Linked DNA regions of Drosophila melanogaster. The protein of the gene in region 1 interacts with the protein of each later gene in a pairwise test. Each region holds a gene or a part of one and is shown on either strand. Other genes may lie near its edges.

Evidence for each region. The genes of interacting proteins can lie anywhere in the genome.
Region 2: the proteins of CG5292 (region 1) and CG32459 interact in a two-hybrid assay, tested with the Drosophila melanogaster proteins (one large-scale study listed by BioGRID).

Annotation. Positions count from the first base shown.
Region 1 is NT_033777.3:17,149,886-17,158,284, reverse strand, and holds CG5292 (uncharacterized protein), read right to left. Parts: upstream 6,425-8,399; 5' UTR 6,312-6,424; coding exon 5,829-6,311; 3' UTR 5,791-5,828; intron 5,735-5,790; 3' UTR 4,766-5,734; downstream 1-4,765. Other genes in the region: Mur89F (mucin related 89F), read left to right, coding at 1-4,401, 4,478-4,765; Smug (Single-strand-selective monofunctional uracil-DNA glycosylase), read right to left, coding at 6,726-7,256, 7,318-7,629; Det (deterin), read right to left, coding at 7,915-8,046, 8,108-8,287, 8,365-8,399.
Region 2 is NT_037436.4:22,853,387-22,857,898, reverse strand, and holds CG32459 (uncharacterized protein), read left to right. Parts: upstream 1-1,839; 5' UTR 1,840-1,903; coding exon 1,904-2,107; intron 2,108-2,160; coding exon 2,161-2,352; intron 2,353-2,400; coding exon 2,401-3,072; 3' UTR 3,073-3,316; downstream 3,317-4,512.

The DNA.
Region 1 (8,399 bases):
TCGTCCAGCAATCAAGGATCGTCTAGCAATCAAGGCTCATCTAGCAATCAAGGCTCATCAAGCAATCAATCTTCCAGCAATCAGAGCTCATCCAGCAATCAAGGATCGTCTAGCAATCAAGGATCTTCTAGCAATCAAGGCTCATCCAGCAATCAGAGCTCATCCAGCAATCAAGGATCGTCTAGCAATCAAGGCTCATCCAGCAATCAAAGCTCATCCAGCAATCAAGGATCGTCTAGCAATCAAGGCTCGTCCAGCAATCAAGGCTCATCCAGCAATCAAGGATCTTCCAGCAATCAAGGCTCATCCAGTAATCAAGGATCCTCAAGCAATCAGTCCTCCAATCAAGGCTCGACTTCATCTTCTAGCAACCAAAGCTCCTCAAGCTCAAATAATAACTCCACGAGCACTCAAACAAAGCCATCTAATCCCGATGGTGAATGCCAAGATACGGAAACATATTTGGCTGATAAGAAGGACTGTGCCCGATTCTATCGATGCGTAGAGAATGGTAGCGGTGGCTTCAATAAAGTTCCTTTCGATTGCTCCCCTGGAACGGTTTGGGATCCAGATACGAAGGGATGTAACCATCCAACAGATGTGCAAAAGGAGCAATGCAAGGCTATGGCCAATGGAAGTGGATCATCATCCAGCCAAGGCTCCTCTTCCAACCAGGGATCATCCTCAAGCCAGGGATCTTCTTCCAATCAGGGATCATCCTCCAACCAGGGCTCTTCTTCTAACCAGGGATCATCTTCAAATCAGGGTTCCTCTTCTAACCAGGGATCATCTTCAAATCAGGGTTCCTCTTCTAACCAGGGATCGTCCTCCAACCAAGGATCGTCATCTAACCAGGGATCATCTTCCAGCCAGGGTTCTTCATCCAACCAGGGATCATCTTCCAATCAGGGTTCCTCTTCCAACCAAGGATCATCTTCCAATCAGGGATCGTCATCTAACCAAGGATCATCATCTAGCCAGGGATCTTCCTCCAACGAAGGATCATCTTCCAATCAGGGATCATCTTCGAGCCAAGGATCATCCTCTAACCAGGGTTCATCTTCGAACCAAGGATCGTCCTCTAATCAGGGTTCCTCTTCTAACCAGGGATCATCATCGAATCAAGGATCTTCCTCAAATCAGGGATCATCTTCAAATCAAAGTTCTTCGTCTAACCAATCGTCCTCGAATCAATCCTCCTCCAATCAATCGTCATCATCTAACCAGACATCATCATCCACTACACAAAAGCCTTTCAAACCTGCAGAGAAATGTGAAAGTGAGGAAACTTTCTTGGCTGACAACGAAAACTGCTCGAAGTTTTATCGATGCGTGGATAATGGTAAGGGTGGTTTTACAAAAGTATCATTCACCTGCCCTCCAAACACGCTATGGGATCCTGAGGCCAACAGCTGTAACCATCCTGATCAGATCCAGACCAAGCCGCTCAAATGCAAAAAGGTGGTTAGCCAAGGCGGAAGCTCCTCTAACAGCACCAGCAACTCCTCGAGTAGCTCAAACAACAGTGGTTCCTCGTCGAACAGTGGATCATCTTCCAGTTCATCATCCTCCAACAGTGGCTCCTCCTCCAATACAGGTTCATCGTCAAACAGTGGCGCTTCTTCCAGCGGTGGCTCATCGAATCAAGGCTCATCCTCCAATAGTGGCTCCTCTTCCGGCTCGAACTCTTCTGGAAATCAATCGACATCTTCGTCAACATCGTCTTCATCATCATCAAGCAATAATAATAATCAAGGTTCCTCCTCATCGTCCTCCTCCAGCAGCAGCTCGACTTCGTCAAAACCAAATCCATCTGAAACCTGCAAAGTTAATGGACAATTTATTGGCGATCGATCGGATTGTGCCAAATTCTATCGCTGCGTCGATAATGACAGAGGTGGCTTCAATATGGTACCCTTTAGCTGCGGTCCTGGCACTGTTTGGGATGCCCAGATGCAGGCCTGTAATCATGCGTGGGCAGTAAAGGAATGCGGTGGTATTGCTCCACCTACAACTTCTACTCCGACGACCTCCAGGCCAACAACGGCAAGCACTTCTAGACCTTCTGACCAAACTTCAACGTCGAGACCCACAGGTCCGCCCACTACCGCACGTCCAGTGACTGCCAGACCAACCACTTCTTCTCCAACAACAGCTTCATCATCCCAAACCACATCTCCTGTTACTCAGGCACCCAATACGGATGGCAAATGTCGATCGGAGGGCTTTATGGCTGATCCCAACAACTGCTCCAAATTCTACCGCTGTGTAAGGAACAACAAAGGCGGCTTCACCTCAATTCCATTCCAATGTGGAGCTGGTACCGTATGGGATCAGGATCTGCAGACCTGCAACCACAATTTCAACAATTGCAGTACGGGCACTGAAAGTACCACTCCAAAACCGCCTTGTGAGCCAGCAACAAATGGAACAACGGCCACGTCTACGTCCTCGACCACCACACCTCCACCCACCACCACTGATTTACCACCCACTTCAACAACAGGATTGCCGCCTACTACAACAACCGAGTTACCTCCAACTACAACCACAGACTTACCTCCTACAACAACTACTAGGTTGCCTCCCACTACAACTACTAGCTTGCCTCCGACTACAACAACTGGACTGCCACCCACCACGACCACAGGAGCTCAACCCACTACAACAACATTGAGTTCGGAAACTGAAACATCAACGGTAACCACAAGTCCGGAAAGCACCACGCAACCACCGTCTACAACCACTATGAAACCCCTACCAGCTGGAACGGAATGCACAGGAGAGGGATACATGGCCGATCCCGAAGATTGCAGGAAATACTACCGATGCATCAATGCTGGAGCTTCCTACAGAAAGTACAACTTTACGTGTCCCAAGGGCACGGGATGGAATGAAGAAGTTCAGACCTGTGACTACGTGGAGAATATACCAAGGTGCTCGAAGTTACCCGCTGAACCAATCACTACGACACCAAGTGAAGAGTCCAAGGATCCCGGAAGCACCACTCCGCAGTCAACGGATGAGCCCACCACAGTGACAAAACCCATTACAAAACCCACCGAAGAACCTTCAACAGAAAAACCTCAAAAGCCGACCACTCAATATCCGGAGAAGCCAACCACCACAGAGGAACCAGAAAAGCCGCAGAAGCCGACTACAACCGAGTATCCTCAGAAGCCAACCACCACGGAGGAGCCTACCCCTGAGAAGCCCCAGAAACCCACTACAACCGAATATCCTCAGAAGCCGACCACCACGGAGGAGCCTACTCCAGAGAAGCCCCAGAAACCCACTACAACCGAATATCCTCAGAAGCCGACCACTGAAGAACCCACCACCACAAGTATTCCGGGCTACAATCCAACAACAACGTCTGTTCCGGGCTATAATCCAACAACAACGCCGATTCCGGTAGAAACTACAACCTCAACTCCTGGCTATAAGCCAACTACCACCGGCGAACCTATTACCACGACCACATTACCTTCCACAACCACGGATGCAATTCAAGAGCCTACAACCTCAAAAAAACCCGAACCCACAACAACCACGGAAAGTCCCGAATCCAGCACCCCTGAAGGTTCAGTAACCACTCTTCAGCCGGAGCCACAGCCTAACTATAACTGCTCATCGGAGGGATTCTTCCCAGATCCCGAGGACTGTAGTCGCTATTACCGTTGTGTGGATGCAGCCAAAAACGGCAAATATCAGGTTTATGCCTTCAAGTGCGGCAAAGGAACTGTTTGGGACACGTCCACCGAGACCTGCAATTACGCCGATCAGGTGTCTGGCAATTGCTCATCGGGACAGACGACCACGCCGGGAACGACTACGGAACCTGGTACGACGGAGAGTACAACCAGCTCTGGAAAACCTGAAACCACCTCAAAGGCCCCTGAAAACACCACAACATGGGCTCCTGAAACCACCACTACATCGTCTCCTGAAACCACCACCACAGTAGCCTCCGAAACCACTACTACTACTTCTGGCACAACCACCACAGCCACTCCTGAAACCACTACAAAACCACCCAAGCCTGAAACCACTACCATAGCTGGGGAAGAAACATCAACGTCAAAATCGCCTACCACTACGGAGAGTCCTGCTCCCAGTACCAATACCTCTGCTCCTTGTCCCGAAACCGGACCAGGTCAGAACGTGTACGTCTGCCCCACTGGATTCCGCCGGCATCCGGAGAAGTGCGGCATGTTCTACCAGTGCAGCGAAAGTGCCGATAACAATGATCTTAACATCGTGGTATTCCAATGCCCCAACGGAACCGTCTACCAAGACAAGTCCTGCAGCTGTGGCAAGCCACCGGCAGGTGACAAGTGCTCCAAGGACATGAAGAGGACCACCAACGCGTTTGAAGAGGAAACGAAACTTCAGAATGTGGTAAGTCGTATAATTGTAAAGTCTAGTCTACATTCCATAATGAAATAATACAATTTAATTATTTTACCATCAACAGGTTCAAATCAGCACGACAGATCCGCTCTGCCCGGATGAGGGTCACTTCGCGCTCAACAACGACCAGTGCGGCCAGCTGTTCGTCAAGTGCGGATTCTCGGAGCTGACGGGTCGCATCGAAGGCCAGATCCACCGCTGTCCGCAGGGATTCGCCTACTGGAACGTTAGCCGACGATGCGAGCCCGCCCGCAAGCTGCCCAACTGCACGCCCACCACCTACAATGTGGGCGGAAACGTGCCGCTGGAGTGGCTCAACATTGGCCATAGACGCCGCAGCATGCGCATTTAATTAGATTTAGTCTAGATTCACTTAGTCGCCCGCCATTGTTCGTTTGCTGCGCCAGCACTTGATGGCCAGCTTGGCAGCTAGCTGATTGCGATCGAGGCAATAAGCTGGCGCAGCAAACGATCGAACCGAAGAGTTAGCTTAGGACGTAGGGAAATTACATTAGGTTAAGCACGGGTGCAGCCCTCCGACATTTATCTTACAAGTGGGAACTTAAAACAAGTTAGCCTATAATACAACCATATATTTCTATAATATATATTGCTTCGATTGTTGGAGGGTAAACTAGATTCTTGGTGTCGGACTGCTAGCGAGACTGCACTTTACGCATTTGAAAAGGAAACAAAAGGTTTTGAGTAGTCTTCCTATAGTGGAAACAGGCACAGCCTTCACTACACACACGTAAATGCTGTAGCTTTCATGCAGTAATTGTATTTATGCTTAGAGTTAAAACATACGTTCTGAACGCCATATACAATATATCTTAGACTATGCTTAAAGATTATAATAAATTGAATCATATACAGAAATCGTCGAAGAATGATGCAGTGGTACTTATTTTACTTTCGGATGTATGCCTCCAGGATGCAGATGACTGGAGCACTAATGTTTTCATTCTTTATGCGATTGTAGTTTTATGTATTCTAACTACTTTCATTTCTGATTGCGTTTTTGAAATTCGTTCTCTATTTCACGATGATTTCGACGGAATACTATTCCTTTTATAAGATAAATACGTTTCTTGGCTTGTTCCCTCTGAAATAATGAGTAAACTAGAGGTTTGCCTTCGGATTTTCGGTAATCTGCTCGTTTCCGGATTTTGGAAGGCTTGGAAGTAATTGAATTTTACGAAAACGTAGACTTTTGCATTCTACTATTTTTCTATAGTTTTATCATACTTTAAATATTACTTCAATGACTGTAATAGCTTCCTACTTCTTTGAGGATCAGTGGTTGACTCCATTCATGCTCCTGAAAAACCAATACTGTATCGTTCTCTCTAGCAAATTCTTTAGGTTTATAATTACCCCTTCTTCACGCACGCTTTTGGCCTCGACAATTGATCCTACTTTTTCTTCTTGGCCTGTGGCGGTGCCGCCGGATTGTCGCCCTTGTAGAAATCCTTTAGCAGAGCCATCGCCTCATCCGCCCGCACACCGCCCGTGATCTCGATCCTATGGCCAACGACGGCGGCCACATCCACGACCGTCTTTCCTCCGAAACGATCGTTCTCACAGCCGTAGATGATCTCCTTGACGCCCAGAGTGTGCAGGGCGGCGGAGCACATAATGCAGGGCTCCACGGTGACCACCACGGTGATCTCGCTGAACAGCTGGCGGGCCGGCAGACGTCTCTCGCGGCAGCTGGCGAGGATAGCGTCGATGCAAATGAATTCCGCGTGGCGAGTGGCGTTCCGGTGGACGTTCACCTCGTTCCCGCCACGTGCGACCACCTTGTCCCCATGAACGAACACACAGCCCACGGGCACCTCGCCGGCGTCACGTGCCCGCCTCGCCTCCACTAACGCTTCCTCCATGAAGGCGGCCATTTGGCATGGAAATAGACTCGGGCGAACTGGGTGAAAAGCCGCAAACAGATGAGATGAAATGACCAGGTCAACAAAAACAATGGGTAGCTCTCACTCAGGCGGCACTTTCCAGCACTGCGCAACAGCTGGCGGTCACGGTGAGCGGTCACTGTACGAGCGGTCACGGTGGGAAAGCGAAGTCACCTTTTGTATTTGGGGTATTCCCCGCAAATAAATAATATCTCAAAATAAAATAGAGAATTCTGTTTCAATAGAATACTGAAATTATTAATAATGTATTCTCTTTTGCCACTCACTTATAAATGTAGAGCTTTAAAGTTATAGTATGTGCAGTAATATCCTTATATATACATAGAATGTATTTGTACAGATACAGATATGTAAATACTATCTAAATAATTGACCATTTTTGCTTCAAGCCTCATTCCGCATGAATCGGATTAGGTTGTGCTCCTCCAAAAATGCTTGAGCCTTCTCGGGCCAATTGGTATTATTAGTAGAACGCGGACTAGGATGCGGCAGTCGGAGCACCGAAACGCAATTGGATTTGGCATATCCTGAACGCTTCAGTGCGCTGTGAACATACTCCCCAACGGCCACAATCACGTCGGGTTGGAGGAGCTTCAGTTGTTCCTCCAGGGTGTGCAGGCACAGGTCTCCTAGCTGATTTTTGTAAGCTCCTCTGATTTCACTGGGCGTTATGTTCCTGCCATCTGCGCCAAAGAAAGCTAGCGGACAGAAATTGTGGACGAAACACTGCTGGGAGAAGGTCTGCATGCTGCCAGCCAGTCGGAGGAACAGCTCCCACAAACGCACACCACTGGGCTCCTCAATCCGACAATCCAAGCCAGCGACTGGACGTTTGGGATGCACGACTGGAGGTTGGTCCACCGAACCAGCCAGCTGCATTAACAACTTTACTGTGCGCACATTGCCAAAGGGAATCTGAAGCAGAGCGCGTCAATGTATCAATATGTTCGGATAATCTACAAGATTAAGCTCTTACTCCGGTTTGGGCCATTCCATTGGGCCCTGGATTCATGCCAACAAATACCAGCTTCTTGGGACCGTCCATATAGCGACGTAAATAGTCGCAGTGCAGCTGGGATGCATATACTATCGGGTTGTAGATGAACGGTGTGCTCTCAGGAGGATTCAGTTTTTCCAGCGCCTCATTTAACTTGACTTCGGTTTCGTAGAATTTAAGCCACAGCGGCTTATCAAAGAATTCCGATGTACTGCCCTGCCTTGCGGATGTCTTAGTGGGCTCCCCAATCTCCAGATTGCATTTTTGCTGGTTCAGTTTGCGCTTCAGCATAACGTTTGCTTCAGCGGAACAGGACAACAAATCGCAGGATTTAAAAGCTGCATTGGATTTGGTTTTAATCAGCTGTTCCACATAGAAGACTCAGTATGACCATATACGACCTTGAAGTTTTTAAATTGAACACGAGACAGATTGGTTTAAAATAAGCAATTAAAAAAAAATCCTATTACAGTTTAATTTATAAATACATTCGATGGACTAACATTGCGTTTTATTAAAAATCTTGATAAATAGCGAGTTTTATATATGTATATTTAAGGTTTAAAAATTAGCGCTCTATTTTTGATTACGCGTAAACTCATCTAGACGCTTCTCATTCTCCCGAACGAAGCTCGATTTGAAGGCTTTGCAGGTTTTCTCTATGCTGCCTTTAACGACGGTTCCAAGAATTTCCAGAAATTGTGATACCTGCAAGAATTATACACAAGTTTAGGATGCCAGCTGGATTCGGGAGTCATGGGGAACATACGGTTAAATTCCTTTCGGGACACGATAGCTTGGCGAACTCGCATTGGGGTGCATGTTTCACGTGCTCCTTCCACGGATCATCTTCGGGCTCCCAGCCATCCAGGGTCTTTCCGCACACAAAACAAGTGGCAGTGTCGTTTTCCCGCTTGGTGCCCGTCCAATAGAATCCCGCCTCGGCCATCTGTGGTGCATGGAATATAGATGCAGTTAATATAGATGGTCATTTGGGTATTCAAAAAATCTCAGCGACTTGCTTACCTTCGAAATGCTGCAGGATGCGGTCTCCGGAAAGG
Region 2 (4,512 bases), on another chromosome or scaffold:
GTGGTGTGTTAACTGGAGTGTGCCACCATCCCGACGTTTTGTATTCTGAAACCCAAGGCAGGATTTGGGCGGCATTCGACCCTTTTTTCCGGTTGGTGCCACATCATTTGCATTTGGCTGTAGTGGTTACTTAACAGCGCGTGGATCTGTTTGGTGTTGGTTGCAGTTGCTCTTTTCAGTCCATGTCGCCAAGTTCCATTTTATATGCAGCAGAGACAAATCCTCAAGTGGCGAAGGCGTCACTAGAATCTGCATGCTTAAGGGTTAAGTGATCCCAATCAGGAGAGTACTTCCTGCTACCTGTTATGTACATATCAACGAATCTTGTATACCCTTTTATATACCCTAAAATATACCGTATACATGTTACACGTTATAATTGATAAGAGCTATGCGTTCTATGCTTTAAATCCTTTTGATTAGGCAATGCGTTTCGCAATATGGAACACTATGAAAGAAGGTTTTTTTTAGTTTACTGAACTCAACTCGACATTAGTCTATAAGCTTCGACCAACCAAGATTCTTTGCCCCAGGCCAAGTGTTCGGGGTTTCCATTAAATTTAGTTGCATGAGAAATGTACGCTCGAACTTTCCACAAAATAATTTCTCCTTACTGCATCAGATTGGCAGGTTCATGACACCACGTGGGCAACACAGCAACATTTGGCGACAGCGAGACAACATCGGGTTTTGGCCAAGCTGGTGCAACGGCAACAGGTTGCCGCTGTGCCCGATATCAAATTTCAAGTTCGGTTGGCCAATTGGCGTTCGAAACGAAACCGAGTGAAGAAAAAGGACGCCAAATAAAAAGAAACGCCTTGTTGAATAGCCAAGCCACCTAGTCTGTGACTATCGTCCACATTCTGGCAATCAAACGAGCTAAGTCTATAAGAAGGCGGCGAAACTTAACGTTTGCACTCTGCAGAATACATATTTATTTACTCAAATATTTATGATTTGAGTTTAAATTTGTATTCCAACAGGAAGGAATGCCAACTCTTGTAAAGGGAACTTATCTCTAAAGCCGACGATTACGTGTATCCTTTCCCGAAAGAGCGGGAGATAGATTCTGGAACAGAGTTGGGTTGAGTTGGACTCTTCAATCCGTGTAATTGGATATATGATGGCTCGCAGAACTCGGGAGATTTGTAACTAATAACAATGTTTTATGCTTCCGAAAACAAACCTCGCTGTGTAAATACCCTTTTTGTAAGATTCGGCCAATAAATGGAAGTATTGGTCGAGAGATTTAGATGTGGTTTTGACCTGCTAGATAGTTTCCTCTCAGTCCACGAGTAACGTAACTAAAAGTCGAAGCGATCCAGAATAGTTTTTCTTCTTGTTCATTTGTAGAATATAGGTTACACCTCAGCAAAGACTGTTGCACCTCAGCAAAGACTGTTGCATGCCACATAAGAGACGTTTTCGTCAAAGCAAACCATCACATGGGAGGTTGCCGGCAAGCGGCACTTATCATTTATAAAGAAGAAACGGTAGGGCAGCGCAAACGCAGCGAACTTAATGGACTGTAATTACGACTGGCAGTTGAACAGGGAGCTGTGGTTGCTTGTCTGCTGAGCGCTGTAGAATATTAAGACCTAAATTTGCGTGTGCAAAATTTACGACGTGTTTACGATGCCTCAAATTATTGGTTGCACTAATGCGTTACAGAAACGCAAAGTTAATTTCCGCTCTCTGTTCTCCAGGACTGGTTATCACGATCGCAGCCGCGGTTGCACCCCTTTCTACTTCAATGAAATGAATTAAAGGAAGGAGACTCTGTGTCGACTGTCAGAGCAAAAGATTTCGAGTCAAGTAATTTAGCAGGAATTAACATATTTAAAATTTGCCGTGATAGGTTTCTACTTATCCAAGCATTGGTAATTTGGAAATTTTCGGTTAAATGGAACTGGAACGCGAACTGCCCACCGACGACGCCTCCGTGGAGTTGGATGTGTCCGAACCATGGGGTGATGTGAGATCGTCAGATAGCCAGCTTACCCTGAAGCAGAGTGAGAGCCAGGAGACGATAAGACCATTTGGGTATGAGTTAGCTGATCCATCCGAGCTTAGCTCCTACGACATTCACCTGGGTCTTCTAGTAGAGGTTAGTATGGCCACCACGGACGCTCGGTAGTTAACAAAAGTCTGACCCCGCAGAAGGGTTTAATTGACATTAACTCATTGGACAAGCCCTCGAACGAGGACCTTACAGACTATCCGGACTATCCGGGTCTTTTGTCCAGGTCGGCGGATCGTAGTGGAATTGCTGAGATAGTCAAAGAAATGCGAAACGAATTCATGGACAAGCTGACCTCTAAGGCTAAGAGCTTCAAAGAAATCCTGATTAAGGTAAGAGTTTCTAGCACCATTTCATATTCCTCAATGCTACGCTTTCAGAAAGGCTTAATGGAGCCAAAGGACGAAAATCCTGCTATGCAGAAGAATGACTCTGAGAATAAAGCAAAGACCAAAGACGATTCTCAGATTCCAGATCGTAAGAACAAAGCGGGAAAACCTCTAGGAGAAGGCGACGTCAGACGAAATGGTGAACTCGCCCTGCTCATCAATGAAATCAATCAGTTTACTTCTGGCATGGAGCAAGATCCGGACACTGCGGACTGGGCTCGGTTCCGGGCCAACCTGCTGAAAATACATAAGTACTATGTGAGCGTCAATGAGCCGGAAGGAAAAGGCCAAGAACGACCAAACAGCCAAATCGGCGCTGTCAGCGTTTTAGAACCATCAGACATCAGCGGACCGAAGGAAGACCTCAGCAGTCGGGCCCAGTACCTCCGTAAAAATCTCCGGGGTCTCGAATGCAAAATGCTTACCCTGGACCACTCCGTTGATATCTTTAGCGACAAGTTCCATCGTAGTCTGGTCACTAAAGAGCATGTGGAGCGGGAAATGGTGTCGATTGCACTGGTGCGCGATAAAATCGGACGACGCCTAAATCAGATGGAAGTGGAATTTCGCAGGGCCAAGGAGGATTTATTTGATCGGGGCAGGAACCCAAAAAACCAAAGCTATATCGCTTATTCAAAGAATAATCCTGATTGTGGAGCTTGATTAATATGGTTTTTATGAGAGTTAGCTATAGATTATTAGATAGGGCTAACAACTTTTCGGAGTAATAATGATAATTATTGTAATAATAATAATTATAGTAATAATAATAATTGTTATTTAAATACATAACTTTTCCGACCCAATAAGCATTTGGTATGTGAAATTAATTAGTTTTTAATAGGCCGATATCATACAAATTATAAGCATTCCTTGTATAAGAAAATATAAAATAGCAGCAAATTGTATATGCCGACAACTTTTTTTTAATATTAATAAATTCATTCAATTTAAGTTTTGACTTTTATTAAGTTTATTAAAAAACAAGCAACTTTTCAATTCAATTTTTTTAACTTGTTATTTAGCTAGAGGGAGTACAATTTCAACATTTGTTTGAATAATAAGACACTCTAAAACCGGCCATAATTTTATTAGTATTGTAAATTTCTATTGATTTGCCAAAAAAAAACTTTTTGCTACGCCTACTCTAACGCCCTAATGCCGCCGAATCGGTCACGCCCACACTTTGGAAATTTTTTAAACCTTTTTCTGATGAAATTTCGCGTTCGCATTCACACTAGTTGAGTAACAGGTATCTGATAGTCGGGGAACTCGACTATGGCTTTCTTTCTTGTTTTGTTTGTTGACCAGCTTTTGAAAATGAAAATTTAATTTTAAAATTAATTAATTATTAAAATTAGTAGATAGGCATATTTATATTAAATTTAGTATTAAAAGAGAGTTTTGTAAAAATATTGTTCGCAAAGTGACCGAACAACGCTCAATAAGTAATGTACATAACATTACCATTGCTATGAATACATTTTGTTTTGAGTACCAAAAAAAGGAATATTTGAAAATCCTTCTAATAAGCGTCTAATCAATTCGGACTATTTGTAATATGATTAGTAATGAGCTAGAAATGTCGCCATTCTGATTGCTAGACAATGGATTTGCTGCTTGCATATTATTTCTCTATCGCACTATTTGATTGGTATCTGATAGTCACAGCAGTATACTGCGAATGCACGCCCACTCTAAATCTGAAGAGGCATTCTTGAGATATTCTTGACAGTACAAATTTATTTAGTCATCTTAAGAAACCCAAAAAGTTGTGTGAAACTGCGGCAAGGTGGCGTTCGTATAAAATCCAGGGAAGAGCCGCGTTCCTACTCGCATGTCTCCATTTCCCTAACACTCCACTCCATTAAGCTGATTAACCAGTATATGATAGCCGCATAACTCAAATCTACTTTTTGTAGGTATTTCTAACAAATGTTCCTTAGAAGTCAATTTCTTTAATCGTTAGTTGCTACGGTAGGCTCTGTCTTTAAGTTCAGTTCAAAATTTTCGTCCGTTAAGCACTTCCAACACCTTACATTTTTTCGTGACATAAGGAGGGTACTGGGGAGTCCTTCCGAAATGTCCTGCTTATTTCGCTGC